Linked DNA regions of Tribolium castaneum. The protein of the gene in region 1 purifies or fractionates together with the protein of each later gene. This does not show direct contact. Links are inferred from orthologs where the notes say so. Each region holds a gene or a part of one and is shown in the gene's direction. Other genes may lie near its edges.

Evidence for each region. The genes of interacting proteins can lie anywhere in the genome.
Region 2: the proteins of Der-2 (region 1) and E3 ubiquitin-protein ligase AMFR purify together in Homo sapiens (affinity purification with western blotting; 4 studies listed by BioGRID and IntAct, with this or other methods). This does not show direct contact. The link is inferred for Tribolium castaneum from reciprocal best matches to the Homo sapiens genes DERL2 and AMFR.
Region 3: the proteins of Der-2 (region 1) and Faf2 purify together in Homo sapiens (affinity purification with mass spectrometry; 5 studies listed by BioGRID and IntAct, counting the BioPlex papers as one, with this or other methods). This does not show direct contact. The link is inferred for Tribolium castaneum from reciprocal best matches to the Homo sapiens genes DERL2 and FAF2.

Annotation. Positions count from the first base shown.
Region 1 is NC_087399.1:2,163,959-2,167,148, reverse strand, and holds Der-2 (derlin-2), read left to right. Parts: upstream 1-1,494; 5' UTR 1,495-1,636; coding exon 1,637-1,729; intron 1,730-1,780; coding exon 1,781-2,014; intron 2,015-2,073; coding exon 2,074-2,360; intron 2,361-2,406; coding exon 2,407-2,530; 3' UTR 2,531-2,607; downstream 2,608-3,190. Other genes in the region: rdgBbeta (cytoplasmic phosphatidylinositol transfer protein 1), read right to left, coding at 1-163, 214-285, 879-975, 1,026-1,174, 1,222-1,272.
Region 2 is NC_087396.1:17,610,714-17,614,965, forward strand, and holds the start of E3 ubiquitin-protein ligase AMFR, read left to right. Parts: upstream 1-1,348; 5' UTR 1,349-1,612; coding exon 1,613-1,861; intron 1,862-3,246; exon of another isoform or gene 3,247-3,281; coding exon of another isoform or gene 3,282-3,341; intron 3,342-4,252. UniProt on the Homo sapiens protein: E3 ubiquitin-protein ligase that mediates the polyubiquitination of lysine and cysteine residues on target proteins, such as CD3D, CYP3A4, CFTR, INSIG1, SOAT2/ACAT2 and APOB for proteasomal degradation.
Region 3 is NC_087399.1:11,512,397-11,516,629, forward strand, and holds the start of Faf2 (FAS-associated factor 2), read left to right. Parts: upstream 1-1,329; 5' UTR 1,330-1,480; coding exon 1,481-1,874; intron 1,875-1,926; coding exon 1,927-2,110; intron 2,111-4,233. UniProt on the Homo sapiens protein: Plays an important role in endoplasmic reticulum-associated degradation (ERAD) that mediates ubiquitin-dependent degradation of misfolded endoplasmic reticulum proteins.

The DNA of each region.
Region 1 (3,190 bases):
TAGCCCGCCAGCCCTCCACCAGGGGCCCCCTTTGCGTTTTTTTCGACTGGAAAAAACGCGGGTCCTCTTCCTCTTTGTAGTGTTTGGGGCTCACTTCATCGTAGGCTATGTCAATGTGGTCGACTAGGCGTTCGGCAAGTTGTTCAGGAGTTAAATTAAGACACTAAATTTTTTTATTTAAAAAAAATAATTGCAATTTATTTTTTGACTCACGTTTTCGGTACTGCCGTTGTTATTCTCATATTTGGTTTTAATTTCAATGTGAAAACGTGGAATAAATGAGCACTACAAATAAATAATAAAAAATATATAAAAAATATACCGGGTGTTTCAGTTTGGGAATTTAACCCTTGTAATTTTTTTATTAAATAAAGTAAAATACCATATTTCTATTTTTAACGGTTTAGGCATAAATTGACTTTACAATGCAATAATGGCGTCATTAACGGAACTATCGAGGACAGAAACGTTTTATTAGTAGGCTGTTTTATATCCTAACCTTTAGATATCCGTAGACATGAATTTATTATAAAAGGAGTGCCAAAAAAATAGTATTTTGTTTAAGTTAGTAAATAAAAGTATATAATATATATTTTTTTATTTAAAATAATCTATATTTTTTTAATTATTTACCAATTCTTTGTCACATGTTTAAAATTATAAATAATGGTGCAAAAAATTATACAAGGAACCAATGAAAAAAAATTGACAGTCACCGTTTTGACGAATGTCACCATACAGCCAACTTGATGATTTTATTCAATATATTTTGTCAATCCAACCAAAAATATAAACGACTTGTACACTTTTTTACAAAAATAAAAAAGTTACAAAGGTGCGCATAAAAAACCGAAACACCCGGTATATTTGGGCCGTACCGTATATTCTGTGATAGTGTACGGGTAATAATTCCACGCTTTCTCCGTCACGTAAAATATCTTAGGTATAATGGCCTGCACCCAGTAAGGCAAACGGCTACAAAAACTCATTACCTAACGCTCTAATTCGCTAATTCTTAATCAAACCTTGATAAGTGAATTCTTTTTTCGGTAAACTGGCCTTTGCCATGCTCCGGGTCGTCAATTTCCCGATTTTCAACCACTTCAACCCCTTCGCCATCCCCCGACTGCTCCAAACTGTGCCTCGCGATCATGTACAGTTGCCCCACTTGATACTTTCATAAAACCAAGTCAAGTAAAGCACTAAATGACCACAACTCACCTCTTCGACCGTAATCGGCATACAAATTCGGTATTCTTTAGTCAAAACCATCGCAAAAAATGGTTTTATTTTTTGGAAAAATTTGACAGTATGGTTAAACAAAACGTAGCGCGTGCGCACAGTCCCGCCAACTTAAACAAACCAGGCTCATTTTTAGTTAAACAAAGGCACAATTGGAAGTGTAAACACGGAATTTTTCTGAAATAGACCATCGGGGATTTGTTTATTTGAAACGAATTTATTAATTTCGCCGAATTTACGACTTGGGTACCAATCGTGCCGAAACGAAGTTACTAGCGCCGGGAGAGAAATGTCAACAATGTCAAATTTTGACAAGATAATTTCAAGCACTGATGTGGCTTTCAAAATCTGATTTTTGGCTTAAAATGGACATGTCGTGATAGTTAGCCCGAAAATGGCTTATCAGACGTTACGAAACGAATACCTGCACATGCCCCCCGTGACCCGGGCGTACACAACGGCATGTGTGATAACAACGCTGGCTGTTGTAAGTTATATTTTTTTGGGGGGTTTTTTGTTAAAATTTGTTTCATTCAAGCAATTGGAACTGGCGTCGCCCTTCCAGCTGTACTTCAACCCCATCCTGATCCTGAAACAGGGGCAGTTATGGCGGCTAGTCACCACATTCCTATTTTTTGGAACGTTCGGTTTCAATTTCTTCTTCAACATGATTTTCACTTATAGGTACTGTAGGATGCTTGAGGAGGGCTCGTTCCGGAACAGGACGGCCGACTTTGTGATGATGTTCCTGTTCGGGGGCGTGTGTATGATTGTATCCTTTCAAAAAGCGCGCCGTTTTTAACGTCAAAAGCTGGCCTTAACGCCGACTAGATTTTTGCGTTCTTTGTTAACTTATTATTTCTGGGACAAGCGTTCACAATAATGCTGGTTTACGTGTGGTCGCGGCGCAATCCGTACGTTAGGATGAACTTTTTCGGCCTTTTGAACTTCCAAGCTCCTTACTTGCCTTGGGTTTTACTGGGCTTCTCGCTCTTGTTGGGAAATGCGGTCTATGTCGACTTGATGGGGATAGCCGTGGGACATATTTATTATTTTATAGAGGATGTTTTTCCAAACCAAAGAGGGGGTTTTAGGATACTTAAAACGCCGCATTTTATGTAAGGATTGGGCGTTTTTCGGGTTAGTTTTAATAGATTCTTGCAGGCGTACGCTATTTGACGAAATACCTGAAGACCCGGACTATGCCCCGCCTCCTGAGGAGCGGCCCGGGGGGTTCGATTGGGGCAACCAGAACCAGGAGGTGAATCCCCAAGAGAATCGGCAGTGATACCAACCCTAGCCAGTGTACAATACCCCCAAAAATTAATTTGTAATACTTGTTTATTAATAAAAGAATCTATCGAAGCTACGAGTATTTTTTGCATACCCTACAAAATTGATAACTGATAAGCGGGAAAATTAAATACCGACATTTCACAATAATTAATTTCGTTTCATTAAACGTTTGGAAAAATTTTGAAAGATTGCTTCGTAATATCGTAAAACCATAAAATTAAGGCGGTACATTTTTTTTGACTACAGTAATCTCCAAATGCAGCAAATACGGACGTCAAAAAAAATAAATGCTGCGCGAAAGTCCAAAAAGTACTTTTGAAATAAGTATTCTAATTAAAAAAATCATTGGAATCCCATTAATTACAGATTAATTTCAATAAATAAATTTATTGGCAAGCATTAGGTGTTACTACGCAGATTAATGACTACGTCAAACAATTAACATAAAACGAATAATGATAATTAGAGATATCAGTGAATTTATGAAGTACTTAAAACTATATTTTTTTATTACGTAATTTTTGCACTGCACGTCTTTTGAACTGTTTTATAGCAGATTAGATGTTAATGCATTATACATAATATACAGAATGTCTCAAAACTGGCGAGTTCCAAGTTTAGTGCATTATAAAGAATCACTTCAGAAGTCTAA
Region 2 (4,252 bases), on another chromosome or scaffold:
CGTTATCATTCATTTTAAATTCTGTTATTTGTAAAATGCTCTTTTAAAGGTGAAGGTTAAATAAAAATGTTAAACATTACAAATCCAATCTCATCTTTTCTATCCCTCTTTATTTCAAGTTAGCTATAAAGGTGAATCTGGGTTTAAATTACCTCCAGATATTTTGAAACAGCTCAGGTTCATTCTTAATTTGAATCTCATTATATTATTTTGAATTTATTTTTACTTCACAAACGAATAAAATAATAATATTTAGTATTTGAATTCCAAGATATTATTTTTTAAACTATGTACCTTACGAAAAAACAAATTAGTGTACACTATCAAGTACTTGAATGTTTTCGAAGTCATTTTGATTATTGAGTTACTCAAAAAAATATTCAAATGGCACCTTCCTACGGCGATTTTTTTTTTGGTAAGAGATTCTGCTCTATACATAACTTCTACTTTAATAAAATTAATTTTAAACCATTTTAATAAATTATTAAAATTGCGGTTCGAACTCATTACGAAGATTTTTCAACTTTGAATCCATAGGATACAACCACTTCGGCCAAGTTTTTAAAAGTCCCTATTTCCCATCGTTTTTTCCTAATCAAAATTTTCCAAAATAATTATGTTACTCATTAGTAAGTGAAATCCCAAAATATTTTCGCTCAATTAAATTATTTATAATTCAAATCTCTATTGTTTTGCTACTTTGGTACTCTACAGGGTGTCGGCGAATTTCGAGTTCAGAGTGTTGTAAAGAAGCACTTTACTAATCCAAATATAGAAAAAAATTAAAATTGAGGGATTCCGCACAAAGTTACATTGGTTTGAATTAATCTTAGAATTACGTTTTCTTCAAATGCAGGCAAAAAATGTTAGTGTTTATTGTTTATTTGTTTATTCATGGTGTAGTGTATAGATAATTGTAGAGAATAATAATATAAAACATTTTTTTAATTAGCTTTATTGCCGTTCCATTTTTAAGAAAAACTACTAAAAAAATAATGACCAAAATAAAGTTAACTTTTAAAGAAATTGTTTTCCATTATTGTCCACTATCATCTATATCATAAATAACAATAAACACTGAAATTTTTTGCCTGCAATAAAGTGCTCTTGAAGTGCACATTTCGAACCAATGGTAATGGTATGTAGGGGCAACCAATTATACAAGAAGCATGAATTGTGAGTAGCCGACATTTGATTAAAAAGTTGTTCAAACACCATCATTTAAGGATAAACAGGTGTTTGGAGTATTTTAATGATAAAAGTGGATAAGACATAAGAAAGGGACGAGGCTTATGCTCTGAAATATATAAATTCGTTTAAAATTCGCCCTTCCCCTTACAGGGCCCTGTTTTATCCGGATATTTGACAGGTGCATCAGTGGCGGCCCGACCAGCTGGCGCACCACATGATCAATACATGTATAAAATTAACCATCACGTACCAGTGTGTAATCAAAAGTAACGTGGCCCCAAGCGCACCACATCTCCAGTGACAAATCGTTCGCGGCCGCGACTCCACACTATGTCATCGTCGCGCCCCAATTCCGCTTTGACAAGCCGCACAAGAGTCGCGTTGTAATTTGTGACATATCGTGTTTGTAAACAGTGACAATATGCCAGTGATTTTACTCGACCGGTTGCCTGTGCCCAATCTGCGGATGTACTCCGCCGGCAGTGTCTTGGCCCTTTCGGCGTGCGTCTACTACGCCACGCAGGTGATCAAGGACCCCGACTGGGGGGCCGTCGCCGAAGACATCAAAGACTCCAACAGAAGTAACGCCTCGGTGCCGCTTGGCCGGTCCATGGGGCAGTTTGTCTCCGACGTGTTCAGTGTTATGATAAGGGAGCCCATCTGCGTGTGGGTGAGTGCCGGCTGATGCTCCCGGATTCTTCCGGATTACCGGAAATGTGGCGCAATCTTGGGATAACATTACCGCAAATTGCGTTCCGCGAAACGAAAAGAACTGACCGGCTAACGACACAACAAATGCACTTTTTTCTTCCGGTAATCCGGCTCTGGAATAGTCGTGTGGTCACTTTATTAAATTTTAGTCAAAATCGGATCAATTCCTCATTTTTAATTAATTCTTTACGCACCAAAGCGTTACTGAACAAGTCCCGTTATCCAACGGCTTCTTAAATTGTTAATGATTCGAATTACCGAAGCGTCATAAATCATTATTTTGAATAAAGTATTCCAAGTCTCCGATCTCATCATCGAGTCCGGGCTTGCTCATATTTTATTCGTGATTTTCTAAGATTTGTTCAATCATTCGTGAGAGATCCAGATTTTCGATTGAATTTTTCACAAATGTGCCTCGGCTGGAAAAGGTCATGTCGCAGCTTAAATTCCGCAATGCAATGCCAACAATTCACATTATTCAGTCAGACTTTAATAAAAATATCGGAAACGGCTGCTTCTCTTCCTACGCAAGTAATTTAAATGTTTTGTTCATTGACCTGTTTCAAAACAAAAGACTCGTAATTGTCTACAGACGTCAAAAACAAATGTTTGATTTAATTATTTTTTATTGTCTGCAAAAAGTGATTCTCGTAGGGGAGGGTGGAGCATAAAGGTGCCTGAAAATGGGTTTAGTATGCCACGAAACAATCGAGAAAGTCAGCCTTCTTGATTTCTATTTGCCTTAGAATATTTCATTGACGCCCGGTATATTTTTTGCCCATTTTATTGCTCAGTCGGTATTTCACACAATTCCACAATCGCTTGAAAGTTTTTCTAATAACAATCATTTGCAATTACTAAATTGAGGTTTTGACATGCAATGTGCCGTTTTATTCTTTTTGAAAGCAAGGCTTCAACTTTTCCGAAACTCGTTTCGTTGTAATAAAATCGATTTTGTCAACTTTCAAGGTGATTTGGGGTAGGTTGGGTTTATTTCTTTAGTTAGGAAGTATAGATAAAGGAGTGAAGTGTAATTAATTAATGTATGCACAAGGCCAAATAGTTACTAATTGGAAATTGTTCCCAATACGATTTTTTGAATATTGTTTTCCCGTTATTAGTGTCAGATGAAGCCATACACGTGCCGAAGTCGCTTCCAGGTCATAAACGTTGCATCAGATGAATGTGATAGCACCATAAATAAGAATAATATCTATTATTCTCACTTCAAATTCTGACAAATCTGTTTTAATCGAAGGAAATTTATTTTCAATGGTAGGAGTCTTCCTACGATTTTTCGAGAGACAATGACAAAATTTTATAAAGAGTTTCATTACTGATTGTTCATTGCTGTGGTGCGTTTGAGAAAATTGTGAAACATGGAAATAGACAAGTGGAGGGTTATAATTCCCCGAAAGTTCTTAAAAAAGGTCCTAAAGGTAATAAAAACAAAATTGTGAAACTGTGTTTACAAGAGAAAATTTTGTTAGTCCGACTTTAAGATTGTTTGGAATAAATAGTAAACAAATTTATCAACAGTTGTAGTACAAATGTAAACCATTACAAAGTGTAGAGTTACATCAACTTTCGGTCCACTGAATGATAAAACCAACTCGCGATTTAAATCTAATTAAAACCAGTCTGTAATCTTTTAGCAAATTTCTTGTTAATCGTCGCTTTCATCGAGCTCTTATCAGTTATTGTTTCGGGTAGCAACTCGAATCCTTGAATTTTTTAAACATTTGGGTGCCGTTTTATTTTTGGCAACTTTCCGTTCGGTTTTTAAAATTATTTTTAAGTTGAGATTAAACCGGACCTCTTGTCCTTCAAAGCATGCGAAGCGAGAATGTTGTTTTCGAATTAATTGACCACTCAGACGTTTAAAAAATTTAGTGGCACTATGTGCTCTGTCCAAGTCTGAATCATGGAACAAAGTACCGTAGGCGGTTAGATTCTCTTATCAATGACTCACAAATTATATGCTGATATCTATTGTTAACCAGGTATAATAAAATAACAGAAATTACGAGGTCTTCAATGCGCACTTTGTGAAAAAAACTGACGTGGCTTATTATTTGTGGATTGATTTTATGAGTTGTATTAAAACTTGATTTGTAATTATATAACTGGTAAAAATTGGAGGAAATGAAAGGTTCCAAGGTTGAAATATTTAAGTCATGTTTTAGTGCATTTTTTATCGAGGAAAAAATTTGCTCGATGTTATTCTTATATCGATCGTTTCTAAAGACACGTCATTGTTGTGTGCGAGTAATTACCAAGAGAATTGTTTAATTTATTCATATTTTAATTCTACATAATAAAACGAAGTTGCACTTAAGTTTCGATAAGT
Region 3 (4,233 bases), about 9.3 Mb from region 1:
CCCAATTTCCATCATAATGATTTTTATGAAAGTGAACCGAATGTAGTTCTTCTAGTTTTCATTTGAAAAATTAAAAACAAAATTTACAAGTTTGTGGTTTTTCTGAATAATTCAGAAACTAAAAATGACGCATAAAATTTTCCTTCCGATAATTGTTCAGCATAAAAATGCGCAACCGACCACGTATCTCTTATAATAATTGAGATACCCTGGTGGAGTTTGAAAAATAGACAGCCTGTATGTACAAAATTTGACATTCTACAAAGTAGACTGGTAATTCTCAAAATGGATTTTCTCCAGTAGGTGCTTATAGTATTCTTATAATTATAATAATTATTGTTTATTTGGTCTGATGATTCATGTAAAAGAATACTTTAAATAATGTTTTTCTACATATGCACAGGGTGATATAGTCTGGTCTTTAACAAAATTGTGACACTGACAGTTGATTATATAAAAAAAAAATTAACTATATTTAACTATTCTTTACTTGATCAATGAAATTTGAATTCATCGAAATCACCATATCAGGTTGCAATTGGCTAACATTGAGCCGCGTTGATAGGCGTGCACGCAGAGAAAATTAGGAATTAAAAATTCAAAACTAAAATTATAGAACAATTGGAGCAAAACTAATATTTAATTTTTAGTGTTAAATAATATTAATTTGCATATAGTTTAATTTGAATCCCATAATGTATTAGCTGTTTAAAAACTATAAAAACGCCAACGTCGCATCTTACCAAATAATTTTTTTAAATAAGATTGATAAAATTATAAAATACTTATTATCTTATTAATGATTAGATCTCTTATTGAAACTATAAACTACATTATTTTTTTGAAGTGCGTGAATAATTTACAACAGCTATTAGCTGTCTCAAAATTCTTTCAAAATTAGCTGCTATAAATTATTCATGCACATAATAATAGGAAATGTATTAACACTTTCAATGAGAGATCTAATCATTAATACATAACTGTTTTGAAATTTTGTCAAGCTTATTTAAAAAAAGAATTTGGTAAAATGCGACGTTGGCGTTTTTATAGATTTGAAACAACTAATATTTTTTGAGAAAAAATGCGACGTTGGTGTTTTTATACTTTTGAAACAGTTATTAGGCAACCAGCAATACTCATGTCATTAAAACCGTCAATATAATTAACTAGTCGAATTACCTGAAATATGGGGTGTTTTACGTTGGTAAAAGGGGATTTGGGACAATTGGGAAGATTCAAAATTTAATAAATTCGAAAAACACTCGCGCAGTGCTGCCAACGCTCACCGGTAGCGCCGAGACTCCCCCAATTTTCTGTGGAAACTTTCAAGACAAAGTGACGTTTCGAAAATAAGTGTAATGCTCAATAAGTGTATCAATTCACGCATTTGTAATTTATGCAGTGTGACACCGCACCGTATCTAAAAATTCCACGTTTTTATGTGCACATGTGATTATCCCGGCCGCGCTGTGTTTTCACAATGAATTACCTCGGAGACAACGCTGGTTTGGGGCTCACGAGCGAGCAAACCGAGAAAGTATTACAGCTGCAAGACCTCACCGGCATCGACGACATGACGATATGCCGCGACGTGCTGCAGAGGCACCAGTGGAACCTGGAGGTGGCCGTCCAGGAGCAGCTCAATATCAGAGAGGGCAGACCTTCGATTTACGCCACGGAGAGCAGACCGCCGGCGGTTGTGAGCGACCTTTTGGGGCAACACATTTACTATTCGATGCCTCGGGATGGGGGCGGTGGCGGCATTCTGGGTTTTGCCAAAGCTATGTTTAATTTTTTCTACAATATTTGCTATAGTACCATTTTGGCCCTGTTTCAATTGGGGAGGAGGATGATTCGGTTCGAGCCCGAAAGGCGTAAGGGAGGGTTTATTGAGGTGTTTTTTGGCGTAATTGGGGGTTGTTTTAGCGACTAATCCGCTAGATGATGTTGTTGGGTTTATTAATCTTTACCAGGAGAAGTATGGAGATTGCCATCCAGTTTTTTACCAGGGAACTTTCACGCATGCCCTTAATGATGCTAAACGAGAGTTACGGTTCCTTTTAGTTTATTTGCATAAAGAAGACCACAACGATGCTGACTTGTTTTGCAGGTAACTTACGCCAATTAAATTTATAGTTACACTGGACTTGTTTTTTGAAATCAAGTTGGCAACATTGCATAACAGATGCAAGTATTTAAATAAATGTACATACATACAATCAAAGTCACTGTTACCATTTGTTAAACTAAATACAATTTTTTTTTGGAGGCGTTTTTCTTGAAAAAAGTGAATCAAGTACATTGATCCTCTATTATAGTGTTGCCAACTTAATTTTAAGTCTCCTACTCTTCGATCAGAAATCTAATTGTTTAAAATATATTTTTTCTACTTTGGTTCACAAAATATTCATAGTTTCACAAAGAGAACTTTTGTGCAACTCCTTTTAGTAAGTTTTTAGGAGTTGTATTGGCAGTGCTGAGCTGGATGTCATCAGTCATCACTGTAATTTAGTGTGTGATTTGTCAACAGCATCAAGTCGTTTATTGATAAAGCCTGAATAATTGACAAAATTAAGAGGAAATAGTTTGGACAGATTTTTGATAAGTTAAACTAAACACAAACACAAAAATAGAAAGCAGAAAAAATAGTATATTACACTCGTTAAGACTTAATTGTGGCACTTATTCTATTGGAGCAGTCTTTCGTCGTGCTCTAAAACATTTCGTGCTTATAGACTTATAAAACTTTTTTTGTGTAATTTATACTATACTTATACTATTTTTCTGTAATTTATATTGCATCTTTTCAAGAATTTAAATTGGTATTATGTTAAAATTTATACAAGGTGAGTGTGTTAGTAGTTTTTTGCATTTGTGTGGTAATTTACTCAGTTGACGCTTCATTTGGCAAAATAATTGTGTCGTGTAAAATGGTAAACACGCAAAATTTGCATTTAACGTTATCAAATTAAAAAGTAGATTTTTTATTTGACAAGGTATAGTGATGGTTATTATCACTCGATGGCGCCGTTCCAGTCAGAATTAAAAACTAAGAAACTAGTAATTTTATAGCGCCATTTTTTTACGTATTTTTTGTGTATTTTTTACAATAATAAAATTTCATTTAATTAATATTTAAATTAATTAATGTAGTTAGGTATTTTGGTTCTGAATACTTCTGTTAGGAATTAAATATTTTTCATAAAAATTAAAACGATTTATTATAACGTAAAATGAAACTAAGGATCTTTTTTTTGAGGGTCAGGTGTAAAGCATCATACAATAACAAGTTTAATAAATGCCTTACGAAATTTTGGCTTTGAATGTTTTACCACATTAAATAAACAGTTAAGTAAAGGATACATTAATACAGGGTGGTGGATAGTCAGATTTTTTCCAAGCAACTTAATTTTGATGTATTGTTTAATTTGTTTTCCTTAGCAACGGTATCAATTTGTTGTTTTTGTTTCCCATAAGACATTAATTGTTGATCTAACTAAAGTCAAAAAATATGATCTGAACCACCAAAAACATAACTTAAAAATTTTACTTTGAAGAGCTATATCTTGTGAAAAAAGGCTTAAACAATTTTTTGTCATAGGAACTTTTAATTCAGTTTGATGTTCTTTATCAGCACCCGAGAGATTTTCCGGTACTTTTGAATCACCCTGTATAATGACAATGGCTTGAGATAATGAAAAATACACGAGAAACAACTGTAAGGAATTGTAGAAAAAGTCTGCCAACATTCACATGCATTATTTACATACTTTTAGGGGACTCACCTTGTATATTATGGTTAGTTTACAGAACCTTTAATTGTGATCAAATTTGTCCTTAAATTGACGCTCACTGCAAAGTAAACTTTATGTGAATTAGATTAATCTTGGATTAAGTTTTTATTCGATTTCTATAATCCGACCCTTATTAGAGTTAAACTCAAATTAGTTCTGACTTTTATTAGACGTTATACCTTTATTTTCAATAGTTTAAAGACAGTTTAAGGTGCTCTAATTTGTAGTGACGAAAAGGTGGGTGCGTCTTTAAATATGTGATGTTAATTGTGTCTCATTACATTTTTGTGTATCTTTAGTCATGTTATCAAAAAATGTTCAACATTTTAGGTGAAGCCAAGCGAAAGTGAAGTCATTGTATTTTAGTTCAATTTTTATATTAGGTATTATGTAGCAGTTCGCAGCTTCAGTTTTAGCAACGATTTTAAACAGCATAAAC